Linked DNA regions of Notamacropus eugenii. The protein of the gene in region 2 purifies or fractionates together with the protein of the main gene of each other region. This does not show direct contact. Links are inferred from orthologs where the notes say so. Each region holds a gene or a part of one and is shown on either strand. Other genes may lie near its edges.

Evidence for each region. The genes of interacting proteins can lie anywhere in the genome.
Region 1: the proteins of CUL5 (region 2) and SOCS7 purify together in Homo sapiens (affinity purification with mass spectrometry; 4 studies listed by BioGRID and IntAct, counting the BioPlex papers as one, with this or other methods). This does not show direct contact. The link is inferred for Notamacropus eugenii from reciprocal best matches to the Homo sapiens genes CUL5 and SOCS7.

Annotation. Positions count from the first base shown.
Region 1 is NC_092873.1:353,876,113-353,879,857, reverse strand, and holds the start of SOCS7 (suppressor of cytokine signaling 7), read right to left. Parts: upstream 2,604-3,745; 5' UTR 2,400-2,603; coding exon 1,327-2,399; intron 1-1,326. UniProt on the Homo sapiens protein: Substrate-recognition component of a cullin-5-RING E3 ubiquitin-protein ligase complex (ECS complex, also named CRL5 complex), which mediates the ubiquitination and subsequent proteasomal degradation of target proteins, such as DAB1 and IRS1.
Region 2 is NC_092876.1:146,963,241-146,966,985, forward strand, and holds the start of CUL5 (cullin-5), read right to left. Parts: upstream 2,222-3,745; 5' UTR 1,728-2,221; coding exon 1,704-1,727; intron 1-1,703. UniProt on the Homo sapiens protein: Core component of multiple cullin-5-RING E3 ubiquitin-protein ligase complexes (ECS complexes, also named CRL5 complexes), which mediate the ubiquitination and subsequent proteasomal degradation of target proteins.

The sequences.
Region 1 (3,745 bases), on a different chromosome or scaffold from region 2:
GGTGAAATACAGGTGCCTGCTCCGACCACCACCTATTGACTCGATCCCACCTTCTTCACTTCTAGGTACTGCCATATGGCCCAGGCTTATGCCAGTACAATGGAGACTTCTTCAGGAATATGTCACTCATAAGGTGGGGGGGGGAGGTGGGGGGGGGGGTGTCTGTGTGTGTGTGTGTGTGTGTGTGTGTAACACTCAGGAAATGAAACCGTAAGAGCAGTCTTCACAAGTGAAGCTGCAATGCCACTAGATAGAAACCAGTTATCCAGTCTTCTAAATCAGCACTACAGTACTAATGTTGTCAGTTACATCTTTAACAGAAAATTCCACCTCCATTCAGAAATGAAGAAAATTAAAGTCCTTTTCTAAACCAGAATTTTCACCAACTGGCCCACAATTAGATTGGCAATACACAGCATGGATCCCTTATAATACACTTGGGGAACTTAAGTTTCTAAAACTAAAGTTCTGCTCCAGTTTCAAGAGGACTCAAACTGCTCTGCCTTATGACCCTATTAGCCAAGGAAGTGAACTCTAGAGTACACTAGGAAATACCTCTGAAGAAATGGGAGAAATATCTGAATCCTAATCCCAAAAGACCACAAATCTGACTCATGAGAAGCTACTCATGAAGTCAGAGGGGAAGGATGAAAGGCACTATATAGAAAGTGAAGACCAGTAACAGGTCATATCAGCCTACGTTCAAGAGTCCTGCACCCAGGTCAGGTTAACTGAGAATTCTTAAGTGTGGGGGAGACTTCGGAACCTACTCCTCTACCAGTTATAAAATTCACTAAGTCCTCGAAGAGTAAGTGGAGGTGCCATTCCTCCAGTCTTATTTATTTCAACATGGTCCCTGGAAACTCAAGAAGATCCTATTAGGGGAAGGAGAAGGGGAGAAGGGAAAAGAAAGGGACAAGGGGAAGAATAAGGAAAGATGAAGGGAAGGAGTTTGGGGAAGAATGGGGGAAGGAGCAAGAGGGGTTAGAGAAAGAGGGAGAGGGGGGAGAGATTGAAGAAAAAAAGAGGGGAAAGAGAAAGATAGAGGAGGGAAGAGGGGTGCAGAGGAAGAAAGAGGGGAAGGAGGGGCAAAAGGGGAGAGAAGAGGAGGGAGAAGAGAGGTTTTAGAGGGGGACAGAAAAGGTGGAAAGAAAGAGGGGGGAAAAGAGGGAGGAAGAGAGAGGCGGGAAGAGAAGGGAGAGGAGGAAGACAAGAGGGAGAGAAAAGGAAAAGAAGGGAGAAAAAGGGGAGGGGGTAGGAGTATGCGGGACAAGGGCAGTATCTGACAACCAGCGCCCCCCACCCCTTCCCCGCCGGCAAGCTCACCTCCCCGCCTCTGGCTCCCGGGCCCTGGGGCCTCCCACGTCGGTGAGACTCACAGAGGAGGCAGCCAGCTCCCCCGGAGGCCTCTTGCCGGCCGCATCCCCGTTGGCCGAGGCCCCGTTACAGCTCTTCGTGCGGAAGAGGCGACTGAGGCGGATTCTGAGCGAGCCCTTGCGGGAGGTGCCCAGGGGCGGCCGGAGGGGCGCCGAGGGCTGCTGCTGCGGGGGCGGCGGGGGCTCCACTCGGGAGGGCCGCCCCGGGGGCACCAGGTCCTGCAGCGGGAAGGGCGCGGGCGGCAGCTCCGGGGCCAGGGGTTGCAGGGACACCGATCGGCCGCCGCCGCCGCCTCCTCCTCCGCCCGCCCCCCGGCCCGGGCTGCTGAGCTCCTCCTCCGAGCAGCTGTTGGTCTCCAGGCTCTCGGCCTCCGACTCCAGCGCCTCCAGCACTAGCAGCGCGTCGCTCGTCTCCGTGGGGTCCTCTCCCGCCTGCGGGGCCGCGGCGGGCGGTGGGGGCTGCGGCGCGGGCGGCTGCGGGGCGCACGGACAGCTGCCCCCGGCGGGCCCCGGGACCTTGCTGGCCGGCCCCAGCCCCAGAGCTGCCAGGTGGGCCTCCAGCCCCGCGGCCGCCGCGGCCGCCGCCGCCGGGCCCCAGCCCCGCTCCAACCCCAGCCCTAGGCCCAGCCCCAACCCCAGCCCCGGCGGCAGGGCCTTGGGGTCCAGGGTGCAACGGTGCCGGGGGCACAGCAGCTCCGAGGGCCCCGGCCCAGCTCCCGCCGCCGCCGCCTCCTCCTCCTCGGGCGGCCGCCCTACGTTGCGGAACACCATCAGCTGCGGCGGCCGGGAATTCCGGGGTCCCGGCCTCGGCAGGAAGGGCGGCGGCGGCGGCGGGAGCGGGCTCTGGGCCGGGGGCGGCGGATGGGGTCCATGGCCCGGGGCCGGCGGCGGTAGCGGCGGCGGGGCCGGCTCCGAGGCCGCTTCTCCGTAGCCCAGCAGGCGGCTCAGGACGCGGTACGAGGCCGCCGCTGCCGCCGCCGCCGCCGCCGCCGCCTCGCCGTCCCGGAGCTCGGTCCCCTGCATCGGAGAAGGCGGGAGCGAGGCGCGGAGCGAGGGACCGCAGGGGACTAGGCTGGGCCCCGCCGGAGCCCCGCCCGCCGCGGCCCCGGGAGCGGGAGCGACAGCGCCAACGGCCGCTGCGGCCTCCGCTTCATGGAGCGCGGCGGCGGCGGCGAGGAGGAGGAGGAAGAGGAGGCGGAGGAGGAGGCGGGGGCGGAGAAGAGGGAGGAGGAGGAGGAGGAGGCAGCAAAGGGGAGGGAGGGGGCGGGGGCTCGGGGGAGGAGGGGGAAGCGCAGGCCGGGGAGCCCGGCGCGAGCCCAGCCGCGCGCCGCCGCCGTAAGCTGCCCCCCGCCCCGGTCTAACGTCACTTCCGTGAGTGACCAAGCCCCGCCCTCTTCCCTGCTCTCCTCCCCCACGCTCAGACGCAACTTCCTCTTTTGCCGGGGCTGGGTCTGTGTCAGTGTCAGGATCTGGGGCACATGTTTGTGAAGTGCCTCGCACCGCGACGAACGTCACTCAATTTTCCTTCCACCCTCCTCTTGACTAAAAACCCCGCGCTTCTTCGTTCGCACGCGGTCTTCGAAGTCAAAGTACTTCATTCTTTTCCACCAATATTCTTATTGTCTCCCTCCCCTTCCCTCTTCTCTCCCCCCTCCTCTGCCCTTTCCTCTCCTTTCCTTTCCCACCCTCCCTCCTCATTTCTCTTTCTTCTCTTTTCACTTTCCCTCTCCTCTCTCCCCTTCCAACGTCTGTGTCCTCAGCCCTGGGAAAACTGAAACTTTCCATTCCCCCCACACCAAAAAAAAAAAGGCAGACAAAGTCAAAGAAAGGATCAAAAGTGTCATTCTCTGACCTGACTTGGCCAGGTCTACAGACCTGCCTCTGGAAGGGACCTCAGATCTAGTCCAACCACCTCATTTCCCAGATGAGGAAACTGAGACCCTTGGAATTATAAGAAATTTAATCGGCCTCGGAGGCGAGAATTAGGCTCAAATCCCTGAATCCCAGAGCTTTTTCGACTGTATCACAATGCCTTCTGGGTTCCAGGGCAGCTGTGTTTTATTCTGCCCTCACTCTGCATCCCTCCCTCCCCTCCTGCACATCCTATATCTTGCTTGTGACCTGGAATAGCTGGTAATCTTCCACAGCTCATAAGGCTTGTCACTACAGGAGATTACTGTTCAGAGCCCTGTGCTCAGGTGGCTGAGCACAGTCAGTCAGTGCCATTTGAGCTTCTCAAACAGAATTGGAGATAGTGGCCGGGGATGCAAAATCTATTGCAGGAAAGGAGATGGAGGCATCCAGGTGTAAAGGAAAGAAGGCTGAGCTCAAGCAGAAGACCTGGTCTGCGATAAAGGCTTACCATTTAT
Region 2 (3,745 bases):
TTTAATTTAATTTAATTATTTTTTAATTTTATTCCAATATAATTAGCTTTCATTTGTAATCCAACATTTTATTTTATGCATTTAAAAACACTATTCTGAAAAAGGGATATAGACCAAAAGGGGTAAATAATACAAAAAAAGATCAAGAACACCTGGCTCTAGGGATACTACTGACCATTTTAAGCTTGGAATTTCCCCTAGAACCTAGGCACAGGGTTTAGGCCACAGTAAGTGTTTAATAAATGTCGCATGAATTAGATGAATTCTGCACAAATCCCCTACTGACCACTTAATTCTCTTCTCCATACAGAAAAAAATAACACATAAAAACATAAGCCTTAAATAGTAAAGAGGCTGAAAAGCAAAAAAGAATCTCAGCAGAGAAAAAGCTTTCAAACTAAAAAGGGCCTCAAGTGACACCAAAAAAGAAATTTGCCAATACTAATCAGCATTCCTTTCCCTCCCCAAAAGAAAAATTGACTTTGGAATACACACAAACAAGAAGATAGATAGACAGACAGATACACACACACACACCAGTTTAAATTGTTTGCACAACATGGAAAATGGTACCCAAACCATCACCCACGTTCAAATCAGTTTTGACTTCAAACGTCAAATTGTTATGTTTAAGTAATCAAATATAGACAAAATTGATTTAACTGGTACTATGATTTGATACGAGAAAAGTGATTTGTGACATGGGAAGTGAACATAATTGACTAGTTCAAATAGAGAGGATGAAATTAGGAAAAAATTCAAGCTTTCAAAACTAATCAGAAATACAGGGTACTAAACAAGAAAAGGCCCCAGAGTGAAAAGTTAGCTTCTATTACTCTTCAAACGGACTATGTGACCTTGGGCAAGTCACTTAACTTCTTGATATAGGCCTGTTTCCTCATCCGCTTTGAATCCATGTAGGTAAAAAGTTTCCAATGTTAACATTACTATAAAATAACATGGGGATGCACTGACTCTTTCAATTCATTTGCATCCCCTCTTAGCCTGCTTATGGAGACCTACCTCCAACACTGTCCCTGTCAAACACCCAAAAAAACTGAAACAGTTTACCCTTGCACAAAATTACTTTCTTTAGAAAGAAGAGATTTCTAAAAATTCTCCAACATCTTATTATTGTGTTGTATCAAGAGTTCAAGTCCTTAAAGAAGCTGAAACATAGGAGCAGAACCTGAAATCTTCAGAGGAAGGAAACAGGAAAGGATTGGGGTGGAGGGTCCTGCAAACTAATTGGAGGGGGGGTCCTACAAATCCTGTCTGGCTTGGGGAAAGGGGGTGAGGTGAATGGGAGCAGCATCCGACAGCCCAGGCTTTCCTCAGACCTTCCTCGTCTACGGCTTAAATCCTTGACAGCTGGGGGAGTGGGGGACCCTCTAAAGAGGAAATGTACCCCACGTCCCCGAAACGAGCGTTCCGGTGAGTGATCGCAAGGCTCCCCACGAACCCGCCGGCTACACACACAGACACAGACACACGGACACACGGCAACTGGTGGGGGGGAAGCAAGGGCCCTTCCCCCCAGCGCCCGGGGAGAGTGTCCCCTCAATCACCGCTGTCACTGCCGGCGCCGTCGTCGGATCCGGCACAGTACCCGCCCCCGGATCCCGGCGTGCTACTTTCCCAGCGCGGGCCGCCGTGGCCGAGCTCGGAGAGGCGGTGAGGAATGGCAGGAGTGGGGCTCTTACCTTTAACAGATTAGACGTCGCCATGTTCCCTCAACTTATCCTCTCGCGGGACTGCGCGAGATTTCCGAGAGCTCGCCGGCTCTGCTGCGGCCTCTCCCGCCGGACCTCCCGGCCCGGCCCCGCGCTGCCGATGGGGGAAGGGAGGGTGGCCTGGGCTAGGGGCGCTCTCAGCCCGGGGCCGCGGACTGGTTCGTTCGCCCCCCCTTCCCTTTACATGCTCACGGGGGGCTCCCCCGCCAGGGAAGAGCTCATGCGAACCCCGGCGAAGACCCGGAGACAGTCAGCACAGCGAAGACAAGAAGAGCCGGGAAGGGGGGGAAGAGGCGACGAGCGCACAGCCGGGACGAGCCGCCCCTACCCCGTGAGCTCAGGCCGTCATGGTCACGCCCGCAGCCAATCTCGGGAATACAGGGAGCCCCGCGGCCGAGCTGCTGAGGCTGGGGCCGAGTCACGTGGCCCTGAAGCTGGGGAGGGCTCGGGCCTCGGCGAGCCCCGGGTGAAGCTGGGAACCCAAGGAGGAGGAAGGGGCGGGGAGGCGCCCGGGTCAGCCGTCTCCTGGTCGTGACCTTAAAGGGGCAGAGGCCTCCTTGCTCCGCCCCTTCCCCGCCCCCTCGAGGACATTAAAAAAAATCACTGGTGTGGGAGGAGGGAAGCCGCAAAAGGGGACCAATAGTATGGAGCTTTTCGGGATTCGCCCCATTCTCCACTCCTTGCGTTCACTCTCTGATAGAGAGAGATGCACCTTCCTGCTCCAGACCCTCATGGATCAATCAACAAGTATTGATGAACAATAATAGCATTTATGTGGCCTTTGAAGAAGTGCAAAGGACTTTAGGTATATTATCTCCCCAATTCCCCATGAGTACCTCGTGAGGGGGGTGCCATTGTCCTTATGCTACGGATGAAGCTGAGGTAAGTTAAGTGACTTGGCCAGGGTCACACAGACGTTTATTCTCTGAGCTAGGTTTCCAGTGATGAAGCTCCTGCTAGGTGACAGGCGCTGGGGAATGAATGCAAGAATGAAGCAGTCCCCAAGGAGCTTTGGTCATCGGCGGTCGCTCTAATATTCATTCCCCCTCCAGCCCCTCCCCCCCAAGTCTCCTTCGTCCTTAAAAACATCCTAATGACACTCTCATCTGCTCAGACCGCCGAGTTGGGGCTCCATCTCACTCACGCGCAAACGCCTGAAAGAGCTGCCCATGTCATTTCTGCCAGTTGCCCTCCCCAAGCAAGTCCCTGCCCTGGAGGAGCTTACAGTTTAAAGGGGGTGGGGGTGGAAGAGACCACGAGGGTTGTGGTGAGGACGAAATGAGATAACATTTGTAAAAGCGCTTGACACAGTGCCTGGCACATAGTAGGCGCTATTATTACTAAATATGTTTTGTTATTGTTTAGTGTTCCACTCTTTGTGACCCCATTTGGGGTTTTCTTGGCAAAGATACTGTGGAGTAGTTTTGCCATGGCCCACTCTAGCCCATTTTACAGATGAGAAAATTGAGACAAACAGGGTTAAATGACATGCCCAGGGTTACACAGCTAGTAAGTGTCTGAGACCAGATTTGAACTCAGGAAGATGAGTCCTCCTGACTCCAGACCCAGAACACTTTCCCCATAGCTGTCCCTATTAACATATTCTGTCAAAATATTTTGGAGGCACCTTGTTCTCCAGAGGTAAATAAGACCCAGCAAGCAGGCTGTACACTGCATGACAACAATCCTTTGCACTCTGGATAACCTCTGACAGAGTGCATTGCTTTGACTAGCACTGGGTGTTCACTGCTCCCTATTTCCCAGGGACTTGAGATCCATCCATCACTTTGCTTGACTTGTTCACAATCCCTGTTCCTTGTAGCAGCTAAATGAACCAAACCAGGTACTGTACCCCACTGTGAGACAATCAACTTGGAGACTGTTCCCACAGGACCCAGGAACACCTTGTCCACGCATGAAGCATCCTGGAACAGCTACTCAAGACCTAAGAATAATTATTTCATAGTTCAGCTCACTTATGTATATAAGCAATCCCTGTACCCCACCATGTT